Oryctolagus cuniculus: one gene and its partners. The protein of the gene in region 2 purifies or fractionates together with the protein of the main gene of each other region. This does not show direct contact. Links are inferred from orthologs where the notes say so. Each region holds a gene or a part of one and is shown on either strand. Other genes may lie near its edges.

What was found.
Region 1: the proteins of FBXO45 (region 2) and FBXW7 purify together in Homo sapiens (affinity purification with mass spectrometry; 4 studies listed by BioGRID and IntAct, counting the BioPlex papers as one, with this or other methods). This does not show direct contact. The link is inferred for Oryctolagus cuniculus from reciprocal best matches to the Homo sapiens genes FBXO45 and FBXW7.
Region 3: the proteins of FBXO45 (region 2) and MYCBP2 purify together in Homo sapiens (affinity purification with western blotting; 7 studies listed by BioGRID and IntAct, with this or other methods). This does not show direct contact. The link is inferred for Oryctolagus cuniculus from reciprocal best matches to the Homo sapiens genes FBXO45 and MYCBP2.

Annotation. Positions count from the first base shown.
Region 1 is NC_091439.1:12,202,344-12,206,409, forward strand, and holds part of FBXW7 (F-box/WD repeat-containing protein 7), read left to right. Parts: intron 1-1,018; coding exon 1,019-1,155; intron 1,156-2,060; coding exon 2,061-2,174; intron 2,175-3,801; coding exon 3,802-3,983; intron 3,984-4,066. UniProt on the Homo sapiens protein: Substrate recognition component of a SCF (SKP1-CUL1-F-box protein) E3 ubiquitin-protein ligase complex which mediates the ubiquitination and subsequent proteasomal degradation of target proteins.
Region 2 is NC_091435.1:83,075,110-83,079,686, forward strand, and holds the start of FBXO45 (F-box/SPRY domain-containing protein 1), read left to right. Parts: upstream 1-1,372; 5' UTR 1,373-1,667; coding exon 1,668-1,988; intron 1,989-4,577. UniProt on the Homo sapiens protein: Component of E3 ubiquitin ligase complex consisting of FBXO45, MYCBP2 and SKP1. Functions in substrate recognition but also plays an important role in assembly of the complex.
Region 3 is NC_091440.1:35,120,548-35,125,087, forward strand, and holds the start of MYCBP2 (E3 ubiquitin-protein ligase MYCBP2), read left to right. Parts: upstream 1-1,435; 5' UTR 1,436-1,786; coding exon 1,787-2,088; intron 2,089-4,540. UniProt on the Homo sapiens protein: Atypical E3 ubiquitin-protein ligase which specifically mediates ubiquitination of threonine and serine residues on target proteins, instead of ubiquitinating lysine residues.

The DNA of each region.
Region 1 (4,066 bases), on a different chromosome or scaffold from region 2:
CATATACTAGGTTTCTGATCCTGCTTCTACCCTGTCTAGGGCAAGGAGTAATCTGTGAAACCTTCCTTCTCAATTATCTGTATACAGAACGTGGGGTTCATAGCTCTGCCTTACCTTTACCATAGAGTCCGTTTTAGATGTCTTTTTACAAAGTGGTGACAAAGCCATAACAAAATCTGTCATGTAACCATCTGGAAGTGGTGCCGGGTGCTTCACGTTTTGTGCAGGGTCACCGCCATGCACCTCTAGAGCTTCTTCCTCTTGCCTAGCTGAGCCTCCATACTTGCTGTGGGCAGCTCTTCCCCCTCCTCCCCCGAGCCCCCAGCAGCCACCCTTGTGCTTTTTGTCCCCCTACGTTTTACTGCTCCGGGGATCTCAGGTGGGTGAAATCATACAGCATTGTCTCTTTGTGACTGGCTTCCTTAACTTAGCATGTCTTCAGGGTCCATCTGTGTCATAACGTGGGTCAGAATTTCCTTCTTTTTTAAGGCTGTGTGATACCCTGCTGTATGTAAAAACCATATTTTGTTGACCCATTCACCTGCCAGTGGACACTGGATTATTTCCCCCTTTTGACAGTTATTAATGATACGGCTGTGAACGAACATGAATGTACAGCTGTATATCTGTTGGGGTCTCTCATTTCTAGAGAGGTTAGGGTATATATCCAGAAGTGGAACTGCGAGGTCATACATTACTTCTGTGCTAAAGTGTTTTGAGGAGCCACTCTGCTGTTTTCCATGGCTTCACCACTTTGCGTTACAAGAGTACACAAGCACTTCAATTTCTTCATATCCTCATCAACATTTCCTGCAGTCATTTTGAGAAAGAAATGAAATACTGAATGTAAAAATATGCCATATATTAATTTTACATGCCGTAATAACAGTATTCAGTATTGGACAATGTCCTGCATTTCAGTGGTTTTGAGCATTGAGGAAAATGAGATACATTTGAAAATGTGTGGTGTTTATTATTGGTGAAGGCAGTTATACTCCTGAACTCTTTAACACTTTAGGAATTGATGAACCATTGCACATCAAGAGAAGAAAAGTAATAAAACCAGGTTTCATACACAGTCCATGGAAAAGTGCATACATCAGACAGCACAGAATCGACACCAACTGGAGGCGAGGAGAGCTCAAGTCTCCTAAGGTAACGGAACTCTCGCGTGCCGTAACAGGAGCCATGACCAGCCTGAGAGCCTGGTGTGCTCTCGTGTTGCGCTTCTTGACATCTATCTTCTGTAGAAAGAAAACAATGAATTTAAAAATAACTGAAAGTGTAACCGACAGTATTCCTGTATTGCTAATATCTCTCGTCTGGCAACCAACTGTACCTGAATAAAAAATGAGATGAATTGAATGTCTGTCTTATGTAAATGAAAGTCTCTGAATATTCCATTGGATTTTATTGCATCATATATTTGCCACTAAAGATGTGCTGCCTCCTTTGACCTCATAATCCAAACTTGATTTCTTTAAGGAGAATCTGTGTTTCGGTTTTTGATCATTCATATGTGTTTTTATTTTTATAAACAGAAATGTAATTCTGGTTTTTCTGTCTTACAACATTGGAAATATATGAAATGTAGAAATGCTTGAAACTCTTAGCTATCACGTTTTTACCACTGGGAAGAAACAATCTGGGGAGACACCGTCATGCTAATAGTATATACCGTGAATTGAAAAGCTATTTTCATTCCCGTCTTTGTAGTTAGTACATGATGTGTGTCAAAATTGCAGAAATTAGATGCATATTCTCTTGGTTTAAGCAAAGTAGATGATTATAAAATACATTTGGGTTTGAACCATCTGTAGGAGGTCTTGATAAATAAAAGTTAAATTTTAATGGTCAGTGTTTCAAGTATAAATAATGCAATATGGAAATAATACAACGTTTAATACTTGATTCATCAGCCAGAAAGGGTGATGCTTCTTACTTCATATAAATTTTAATTCTAGAAGTAGACTACAGATTATTGTTCCTATTTTCCGTGCTACTGGTATTTGAGAGTTTGACCTACCGGCACATTTTTAATGCGGACATTTCTCTTGCAGGTGCTGAAAGGACACGATGATCACGTGATCACGTGCTTACAGTTCTGCGGTAACCGAATAGTTAGTGGTTCTGATGACAACACGTTGAAAGTGTGGTCCGCGGTCACCGGCAAAGTAAGTTCACTTCTTTCTACACGTCCCAGAGTCACCGTTTTGTGTATTATGACTTTTGTAAGGATCCACTAATCAAAGGAAAGCAGCGATTCCTTTTTGATTCTTGCTTATTTTGATAGCAAGTATCAGGGGTTCTAACTTAGCCCCCCACCCCCCACACTGAGGAAAGTCACATGGGCACCGCTGTGCTTCTCACCACAGGGAGGTCGCTGGCACCGTCACCCTGTAAGCTGTTAGCCTGTCTTTGTGACCCAGCTGTTTTGAAGTGTTGCAGATGTGGTCTTTTTCTTGGCTCTGTTTTTCCCTCCTTGATTAACACTCTTAAGTTATACATCATTACTTTTAATGTTTTGCAAAAAAGTCTGATTGAGGGTTGTTTATTTTTTTCTTCTTTCTTTAATAACTGCTTCATTGATAAGCTACCTGTAGCTCCTCAGTTAAGCAAATCGTGTCAATTCAGACCTTCCTCTGACTGCTGTGAGCTGGGAGGTCAGCAAAGTAGGTATCCAAATACTAGTTTGAAGATAAAAGCTTTCCAGCACTGAGCCAGAGCGCATACAACATTCTACGCTGATGGCCGGCGCCGTGGCTCACTAGGCTAATCCTCCGCCTTGCGGCGCCGGCACCCCGGGTTCTAGTCCCGGTCAGGGTGCTGGATTCTGTCCCTGTTGCCCCTCTTCCTGGCCAGCTCTCTGCTGTGGCCAGGGAGTGCAGTGGAGGATGGCCCAAGTGCTTGGGCCTGCACCCCGTGGGAGACCAGGAGAAGCACCTGGCTCCTGCCATCGGATCAGTGCGGCGCGCCGGCATTGGAGGGTGAACCAACGGCAAAGGAAGATTTTTCTCTCTCTCTCTCTCTCTCACTGTCCACTCTGCCTGTCCAAAAAAAAAAAAAATTCTACTCTGGTGACTCCAGTGAATATTTATTTTTATTTTTCCACTGGAGAATGTTATCATGAATTAAGTAACTGCCACCTTAAAAATAATAGACGAGAGACAGAATAAAAATCTTATGTCTTTACCATGTTACTTCTTGGGCAAGAGTCTTAGAAATCTTCCAAGTCAGATGCTTAAATGTTGAAAAAGAAGCTTCATATTTCCATGGTGTAATATTAGTTTTGGATTTATTTCAGGGTTTTAATGTATGTCTTTACTTGTCTAGAAGTAGCTTGGCTGGCTCCTAACTACTGCCTTGGGGCAAATTCAGATGAAATGTGGTATGTAGGCACACCCAACACTGTTGGCATTCTTTCATTAAATCTATTACATACGTGGAAGAAACCGAGTTGCAGTTTTAGTGTTATTTCCTCAGAGGCCAGGCTGGAGCTATCATACTTCACTTTCACATCATGTGTTTGCTTTCTCTCCTATCGCAAGTTGTATAACATGTTCGTTGTCTACATATTTGTTCTTCATCTGTGCGTGTGTATGTGTGTGTAAGTACGTAATGCTACTGAATACACAAAGCAGTGAATAGTGATGGCACCTTCTTAAGTTGAGATGCAAAAAGTATTTTCTGATGGACCAAATTGAAGAAGTAATTTCACAGCAAATTTTAATGAGCTATTACACTGTTATTTAAATCACTTTCCTTTCTACCCAAAAGTAATCATCTTAAGTATTTTTCCAGTGCCTGAGGACATTAGTGGGACATACAGGTGGAGTATGGTCATCCCAGATGAGAGACAACATCATCATTAGTGGATCTACAGACAGGACCCTCAAAGTATGGAACGCAGAGACTGGAGAATGTATACACACCTTATATGGGCACACTTCCACTGTGCGCTGTATGCATCTTCATGAGAAACGGTAAGGGAAAATGGTGTCATCATAGCTGGGGCTTCGTCCTCTGTTACTTGGGAAGTGGTGGCCTTTCTGTGCAGCTACAAAGA
Region 2 (4,577 bases):
CCCATGCCCATAAACCTGCTCATCTTGCATGGTTCTGTACCCCCTTCTCAGATGGACGACTCCAAACCCTGGACGATTTAAAAGAAACACAACTGTCTTTTCAGGTAAAACTTAGTCCAAACTCAAGAAATATCACCTGAAAGAGTCACCACCACTATAGCCGGTATAGGCCAACTCCTCTCTACAGGTTCCAGGTTTCACAAGTTCCTCCTGATGTCAAGCTGGAGATCAATCAAAAACAATTAAAGGGCTGTACCACTGGCATTACCGAGAATGAAAAGAATGTGGGTTACTGAGCTTGGTCAAAAAGACACCAGGAAAGAAGACATCAGCAAGTCATAAAACAAGTAATTACATCAGAGTTTGAAAGCTAGCTGTTCTTCATAGACCAAGAAATGGATTGCACCCACATAAAGGAGGCAAAACACTGGAGCCGACTAGGAAGGATGTTTGCAAACCTATTATTACACTTACCTACCTCATAGAGTTGTTCTGGGAATTAGATTAAAAAATGGGTCAAGGGCCCGACTATCGGGAAGTGCCTGGCTCACATCATGGATCAAGTGGTGGTCACCCTTTTACTAAACGTCCTTAAAATGCTGTCTGGGGGCCACCTAGGGAAACGCAGTATGATCAAATAATGCTCAAACTCTTCTCCTCCCAAGAAAACACCTGTAATTACAGCCTCCACGTCATTCTACTGAAACATTTAATTGAATACTTCGCCCACTGCCTTAATCTGCCTACTAAGTGGTGATCTGGGAAAGACCACATTTTGTCCAAAATACTGTAGCGTTTAATTAGTACTCAAATGGCACTTTAAGTTATCCAGTTTTTTTTTTTTTTTTTTTGGTGTGTGTGGGGGGGCGTGGGATGGTGTTCAGATGTAGCCATCTTACTTTCCGAACGCTAGCTGGGACATCAGTTCTTTTAAGTACCGATACAGGGGGAGAACGACTAGGCCAGGCCAAGAAGAGACTGCCTCAGCTGCCTAGGCTAAAGATAACCATACCGAAGGTGGCGGAACAAGGAACTAGCTACCAAGGCAAGTTTCATGCGTTAAGCTGCCGCGGGAAGCAGAGACCTAACTCTCGCAAGAAACTTCATAAGAAAAGCCACCCAGGAAAGCCGACGCGAGGCTGCTACCACAAAGAGAACAAGCTACTGGAGGAGAGCTCCGAACCCACCGGCGACAGCCTCGTACCTGCGTTTCCCGCTCCCCTCCTCGGCGCCTCGTGATGACCTCACCCGCGAGCGCCCAATCCCATCAAGCGTAGGGCGCGAGGCGCCTCAGCCAAACAGTCACATCCGGGGCCGAGAGGAACCGCGAGCGAGCTGGGCGTGCGCCCTTGCTTCGTGCCCTCAACCCGCATGGCGGAGCCACGGGCGCGCCGCGGGGAGGCCAGGCGAATCGGGCGGTTCCGGCGCCCGGGCTGAGCCGCGGGGGAGGGGCGGGGGACGCCCGTGCAGCCGGTGCGTCTGCCCTCAGTGAGGCGGGGCGCGCGGCGGACGCCCCCGGGCAGGGGCGGGAGCGGTGGTGGCGCCGGCGGTTGGCACTGAAAGGGGCGGTGAGCGAGCTGCTCCGGTGTCAAGGCGAGGCTCGGCCTCTCGCGCAGAGACGGGGGGTAGCGGCGGCGGCGGCGGCCTTCGGGCCGGCTGGTGAGGCGATGGCGGCTCCAGCCCCGGGGGCTGGGGCAGCCTCGGGCGGTGCTGGCTGCAGTGGCGGCGGCGGCGGCGGCGCGGGTGCGAGCTCGGGCTCCGGGTCCGCGGGGGCCGGGGGCCGGCTGCCCAGCCGGGTGCTGGAGTTGGTGTTCTCGTACCTGGAGCTGTCCGAGCTGCGGAGCTGCGCCCTGGTGTGCAAGCACTGGTACCGCTGCCTGCACGGCGACGAGAACAGCGAGGTGTGGCGGAGCCTGTGCGCCCGCAGCCTGGCAGAGGAGGCTCTGCGCACGGACATCCTCTGCAACCTGCCCAGCTACAAGGCCAAGGTGAGGGAACCCCGGGCCACGCCGCTGCCCCTGGCGCGCTCCTTGGCGCCGCTCGCGGTGCTTGCCGCGAAGCTTCTGAGTCAGACGGCTCGCCTCGCCATCCCGCCTTTCCACGCTCGCGTCGGTACCTTCCTCACCCTCCCGCCCCCGCAAAGATCGTCTTTTCTCTGGAATGAAGTTCTTCTCTTTAACCCGCCCCACTTCCGCGATGACTTTTTCAAAGGCGGCATGGTTCCCCATCCCTGATTTCCATCACTCCTTCCACTTTGGACTGACTTTGTTCCTACAGACAGACCACCGCTATTGTTGTGCCTTTCCCTACTCACCCTGTTTCCCCTCTGGCCTCCAGATACTTCTATTATACTAAGTCGTCTCGGTTGCTTTAACCTCGCCTTGATTTCTGAGACCTTTCCAAGCTCTGATCCCTCACCATTTTTTCCTGTATTTTTGCCCAAGTTCTCTTTCGTCCCCTCCACTGTTATTTCAGGCTTATGAGTGAGTGTGCCTGCTAACTTTGAAGATACAGGCACAGCCAGAACCTCCTGCGGCACCACTTAACCGGCGTGGTACTGCCTTGTGGCTGCTCTTAATGGCTGTTGGTTGCCAACTTTTTCATAGTCCCACCTTGGTGTGTCGGGGCTGTGTCCATGTGTCGTCTAGTGTGCTGATTCCAGTTTCACTACTGCTTTTTTTTTCTCTTAGATTCTTGGGTATATTCCTGACACCTTCATATACCAAATAAAAATGACAGGTTATGGTAGGAGGAGAAGATGCTTCAGCCCATAAAAATAAAAAGCCTTGGGCTTGCGACTGGGTGACAGTCATTCAGCACAGCAGTGTGTGTGTGTATGCATATGCATGCATATATGTCAGAGGACGCCTGACCTGAAGTGTGGGAGACTGCTGGGGCAGTATCGAAGTAAGAAAGGCTTTTTTATGTGAAGTACAAAATGTATTCTTCTGTGAGATGGCCTTTAGTTAATAAGATAAGGAACTTGGCTGTTAAATATGTAAACTATCAAGCTGTTTTTTTAGCAAATAAAGTAACATTTTACTAGGACAGTATGTGTATACTAGGTGAAATTTATGTAGGAGAGTGCAGAAAATTGCAGTTTTGTCCTATTTGCCTGGTCAATATGAACATTTCTCAGGTTTTATTTAGCTTTTATTTTTCCATAAAGTCTGTTGGTTTGGGTTTTAAATTACAACTTTTTGGCAATTAATTTGTGACATGTTACATATGTTGGCTTAAGTCAAGATTCATATAGTATGTAATGGATAATGTGTCCATGTGAGTTAAGCTTCAATAGAAGCAAAATGAGATATAGCAAAGTGTTTCTTTTGGCCCTTGTCCCCCTGCTACCTAGTTGCCTGCTTGGAAGAAGTCTAAAGCTGTAATTTCTTCTGTATCCTTCCTGCAGGATTGTGGGTTTTCTAAGTCTTTAATGCTTTGCTTTTCTGCAGTGTGCACTGGAGGTGCTGTAGGCTTATACTAATCTCATGTTCACTTAGATGTTGCAGGACTTTCCTTGAATAACTTGAAGATACGAGATTAATTTCAAAAAGAGTCAGGCTAATAGGGAAATCCCCAGGCTAATAGAAGAGAAAAAAATATATAAAAGTAACTGTATTGCATGGTAGAAATTGCTCCATTGTATCAATGATAGAAAAAACATATAGGAAGGGCTGGTGCTGTGGCGCAGTAGGTTAATCCTCTACCTATGGCATCGGTATCCTATATGGGTGCCATTCGTAGTCCCGGCTGCCCCTCTTCTGATCCAGCTCTCTGCTGTGGCCTGGGAAAGCAGAAGATGGCATGGGTGCTTGGGCACCTGCACCTGCGTAGGAGACCTGGAAAAAGCACCTGGCTCCTGGCTTCGATTCAGCCCAGTTCCAGCCGTAGTGGCCATTTGGGGAGTGAACCAATGGAAGGAAGACCTCTCTCTCTGTCTCTCCCTTTCACTGTCTGTAACTCTACCTGTTAAATTAAAAAAAAATCATGCTAGAATAGTTTCGTGACAGGAGAAATTTGCAATTTGGAGGATTGGAGAAGATTTGAGGATGAATTGTATTTGAGCTGAATTTTGAGGATGATCTGAAAGTTGTACAAAGAGAGCAGAAACAGAACAACAGGAAGGCAAAGAGTCTGTACAATATATATTTTTATTTAAAAATATGAGTGCTTGGGCTGGCGCTGTGGCACAGTGGGTTAAAGCCCTGGCCTGCAGTTCCGGCATCCCATATGGGCACCGATTCAAGTCCCGGCTGTTCCACTTCAGATCCAGCTCTTTGCTATGATCTGGGAGGGCAGTGGAGGATGGCCCAGGTCCTTGGACCCCTGCACTGTGTGGGAGACCCAATGGAAGCTGCTGGCTCCTGTCTTCAGATCAGCTTGGCTCTGGCCGTTGCGGTCATCTGGGGAGTGAACCAGCAGATGGAAGACACCTCTTTCTCTCACTGGCTCTACCTCTCTCTGTAACTCTCAAATAGATAAGAGTCTGGAAAAAAAAAAAATAAATAAGTGCCAGGCACCATGCTCAGTTTTGCACTTAAGGTTGCCTTGCCTTTTGGAGCTTGCAATCTAGTGTG
Region 3 (4,540 bases), on a different chromosome or scaffold from region 2:
TTAGGCCTGGCTCAACCCTGGCTATTGTGACCATTTGGGGAGTGAACCAGTGGATGGAAAGTCTCTCTCTCTCTTTGTATGTGTGTGTTTCTCCTCTTTGTAACTCTGCCTTTCAAATAAAAAATAAATAAATCTTTTAAAAATAAAAAATAAAAAGCTCTAAGTGTTAGCCATCTATTATTTAAACAATAGCTAAACAATACTACTGCCAGCACCCTTCCTCTGCAAAGCAAGAATTAATTAACTTCTGCACCCACTGTATTTATTAAACAATAAGCAGGACTTTTTGTCATTTTTAAAGAGAAGACATTCAAAGAACAGGCACAGAGATGAGAACTAGTGCGTAATTGAATAGTTGAAGGATGTAGTACTGGGCTTATAAGACTTAGAAATGACTGTAAATTAGGGTTTGGAGTCAAAAGGATAAAACTTAACAGGAATCAGGGTGCACTGGTGCATTTATTTCCAGAGCATGCAATGAGGTTAGCAGATTAGCTCCGAACAGAGGATTCAGCCCATGTCACTTTTTAGACATAACAAAGGTGCGATCTTTGGTAGATCTGACATAATCAGATGTTATACAATCTTAGTCACAATCATAGTTTCAGGTTATATTTAAGACATCTTTAATAACAGGAGTCTTGGCCGAAAAAGATAAGCTGTTAAGGGACCACCGTCAAGAGAACATAGTGTACCCTTAGTGTGCCTGAGGAGTCAACACAACACACAAGAAAACATTCTTGCATCAAGATTCAGCTGTGATGTCCTGCGCATGAATGACTGATTTGTGAATACTAGCCTACCGACTAATTCTGTTTTTTTTTTTTTCTTTCCTAAAAAGATTTATTTATTTGAAAGAATTACAGAGAAAAAGGAGAAGAGAAAGAGGAGGAGAGACAGAAAGACCTTCCACTCGCTGGTTCACTCCCCATATGGCCGCAATGGCGAGAAGCCAGGAGCTTCTTCCGGGTCTCACCTGGTGCAGAGGCCCAAGCACTTGGGCCGTCCTCTGGTACTTTCCCAGGCGCATTAGCGGGGAGCTGGATCAGAAATGGAGCAGCCAGGACTCGAACCTGCGTCCCTATGGATGGAGTGCAGGCGCTGCAGGCCGTCCCCAATTCTGAATTAACCAGTCCTGCTCACAATAAACCTTGGCGCTGGCAGCACAGAGCTGGGGGGCAGGTGGCAGTGCTGCGCGCTCCGGCGCGGGGCTCCAGGCCTCTCTCTCAGGTTCTAAGTCTCCCACCTGGAGGGAACCCATTACCTGAAACGCCGGTAGCAGGCAGCCTTGCCCAACACTGTCCTCACTCTTCCTTAAGCTGCTAGGAAATCCTGGAGAAGTGGATTTCTTTCACAAACCGCACCACCCAGTCGCCCCACACCCAAAGCCCTGGGGGCGGAGGGAGTGGTGGCTGAGGAGGGTGGGGGGGAGGCCGAGTTACTGAGCATGTGCGAAGCGTGGCGCATGCTCAGTGCGGCCGGCAGCTTCCCACTGCGGGTAGCCCCGGCGGTGGCAGCGGTGGTGGCGGCGGCAGCGGCGGCACCGCCTCCTCCTCACACTCCCCGGGTGGCGGGGTTAGATGAGCGGCCCCAGTAGCGGCGAGGGCGGCGCGGGGGGGAGGAGGAGGAGAAGGAGAAGGAGGAGAAGGTCGCTGTCTTTGTAGTCTCCCCGCTGTGGGAGCCAGAGGCCGCCACCGGAGCCGACGTCGTTGGAAAAGGGCTGTGTGTGTGCGCGCGCGTGTCTGCCCGCCCGGCCCGCGGGGACGAGGCGGCGGCGGCGGCGAAGATGATGATGTGCGCAGCGACTGCTTCCCCCGCCGCCGCCTCCTCGGGGCCCGGAGGGGACGGATTCTTCGCAGCCGCCACCTTCTCTTCCTCCCCGGCACCGGGAGCGCTGTTCATGCCGGTTCCCGATGGCTCCGTGGCTGCCGCGGGGCTGGGGCTGGGGCTGCCCGCCGCGGACACCCGGGGTCAGTACCAGCTGCTGCTGTCAGGTCGCGCCCTGGCCGACCGCTACCGGAGGATTTACACCGCCGCGCTCAGTGACAGGGACCAGGGGGGCAGCAGCTCCGGACACCCGGCCTCCAGGTGAGTCTCCAAGGGTGCCGTCCTTGCGCCGCGCGCCTCGTGTGCGCCTGTATGTGTGTGTGTGTGTGTGTGTTCACGTCTGCGTTTCTCGAGCTTTCATTGATGCGAGGCCCCAGAAACGTTTCCCAGGATCTCGGGAGGGTGCGGTGGCTGCAGTTTCTGCTCTCGAGTGTGTGTCTGCCCATGTGGGGGGTTATTGAGGGCGGCAGTCGCGTGTGATACTGGACACGATGATGGTGCTGGGTCGGTCCTGACACGTGTGTGTATTGTTGAGGAAGGAGGAGGCATGGTCGAGGACACTAGGGTAATACCCGAAGAGAAGTGGTGAAGGAAGTGGCGTTCGCAGTGTCTCTGCCGCAATGTTATTTGCACGCCGCACCCCCCCCCCCCGCATGCCATTGCTCCCTCCCTTTTCTAGCCAGACCTCCGCCCCCCCTTTAAAGATATCTGCCATTCATTAAGGAGGACACTGATATAGATGAAGAAGAACGTCTTTTTTGCAGAATGAATTCGTGATAATCAGGCAGGAGGCTAGGCACGAGGTTTCCTTTTCAAAGATTTATGAATAAGAGATGCAAATGGAGATTTCTGTGGGTGCGAAGGGAGCCTGACGGAGGGTTTTAGATCTGCTCTCTGGGCCTTTGGGTCTTCTGGAAATGTGGTCGCAGCTGCTCCTGTGTTCTGCTGTCCCATCGGCCATTTCTCTTCATCTTCTGTTCTGTTTCCTCTATTACTTGCAGGCTTCAGAGGGCAGGGGATTTTGTAGGGAAACAGGGAGCACCGGAGAACTTCAAAATATGACGGCTGGTGTAGTGTTCAGCTGCCACCGGCTCGAAATTTTGAGAAGCTCCTGGATCTCTTCCATTTGGGCTGGCTGCACCTTCAGTTTCCTTGATGTGGATGTTAAATCACTTTCGTTTTCTTTTTCTCAAAACGTGGGTGCCTTTTTTGCTGAGGGCTCTGCTATTGTTTTCTTCTCCTTGCCTTAACATGCCACAGACCCTGAGGGATGGTGACTGACTTGCTTCACCAGCTTTGATGGTGGTTCTGGGGAGTTGGCTTCAGCCCTTCTCACGGAGCTTCTTGCACTGCGTGAGGAGAGCATAGTAGAATTTTGTCGAATGAGTTGAAGGGTTTACTGTGTTTATTGAATGTGCAGGTTATTAGGCAGTAACCAGGTGTCCTGTTCTTCTGTTATGCAAGGGGCTAGGCTGTAAATCGGATATTCGTAGTCTGTCACTATGTCTTGTGACTTATTCACTGAGGAGAGTTGTAAAGATGGAGGTTTGTTCACACTTTTTCTGGGTAAACCAGTCTTGGCAGTTCTGTGATTGTCTACTGGATTAGGCATGTGAGTGGCTCTGTCATATGGACAGAAACGTATATAAACAACGCCCTTTGCTCTTTAACATGAAGGCCCTGTGGCACAAGTTTGTTTCATGCTAGTGTTTTTGAAAATAGCACAGAGCCACATTATACAGCTTTTTCCTGATAATTGGGTGTGATTTTGAGCTATGAGTCTCTGAATTATGGCTCTGTAGCTGTATTTGTGCAGGCCTCCTCAGGGACTTTAAATTTCTTTTGTGTGTGGTTCCCAGACTTATGCAATAATTTGTGACTACTTATTCCTTTTTTAACTTTCAACTACTATACTTGTATAATAATACGATTTTATATCTGTAGAACTGTATTCACACTTTTAAGCAGAACTAATGTACATTAATCATATACCCAAAACTTATGAATGATTTTAGTCTTTGGTCCATTTTGTACAAACTGTCAATGACAACGTATAAAGAAGTAGTTCAAGTTTTTCCAGAAATACCCAAGGAAACCAGCCTTATGTTGCATGATTTTGCTTGCTGCTGCTTGTTCATAACATTGTTTATTACAGTTCATTTTGTTTTCTAATATTTAGCCTGCAGATCCTCATTTTTGAGGATTTGATTAAGAGTGCAGTCACGTATCTTGTTAAAAATGATGGGGAAAGTACATCTGGGATTTACGATGTGAATGTTTAAGGGTGCTGGTGGACAACATTAGAGAAGTTGAGATCATTCAGACAGAATGGAGCAAGAATAGAGAATGAAACTGGTGAGCATCATGTTTTAAAAATGTGAGAGAAAAGCAACAATGAAGGAAAATGAAACAAGAGGTCAGAAAATTAAGAAGAGAAGAAAGTGAGAAGAGTTTTCAGGTCACTGAGAACTTCTGAGGAAGTGGTCATAGAAGAGGAATGTGATGAAGAGTGAATGGAAAGGGGTTAGGGTCACTTGGGGGGCTTCAGATTTGAAGAAAGAGTATCAAGTATGGGAGGGTAGGTGGGTTACACAAATGTGGGAGTGTAATTACAAACCAAGAGAGTAAAGGAGTGAGGAGGCGGTGTTTGGTAGGGAAAAGTCAAAGGACAGGTGGAGACATTAGCCACTGAGAAAAGTTAGGGGCTGGTTTT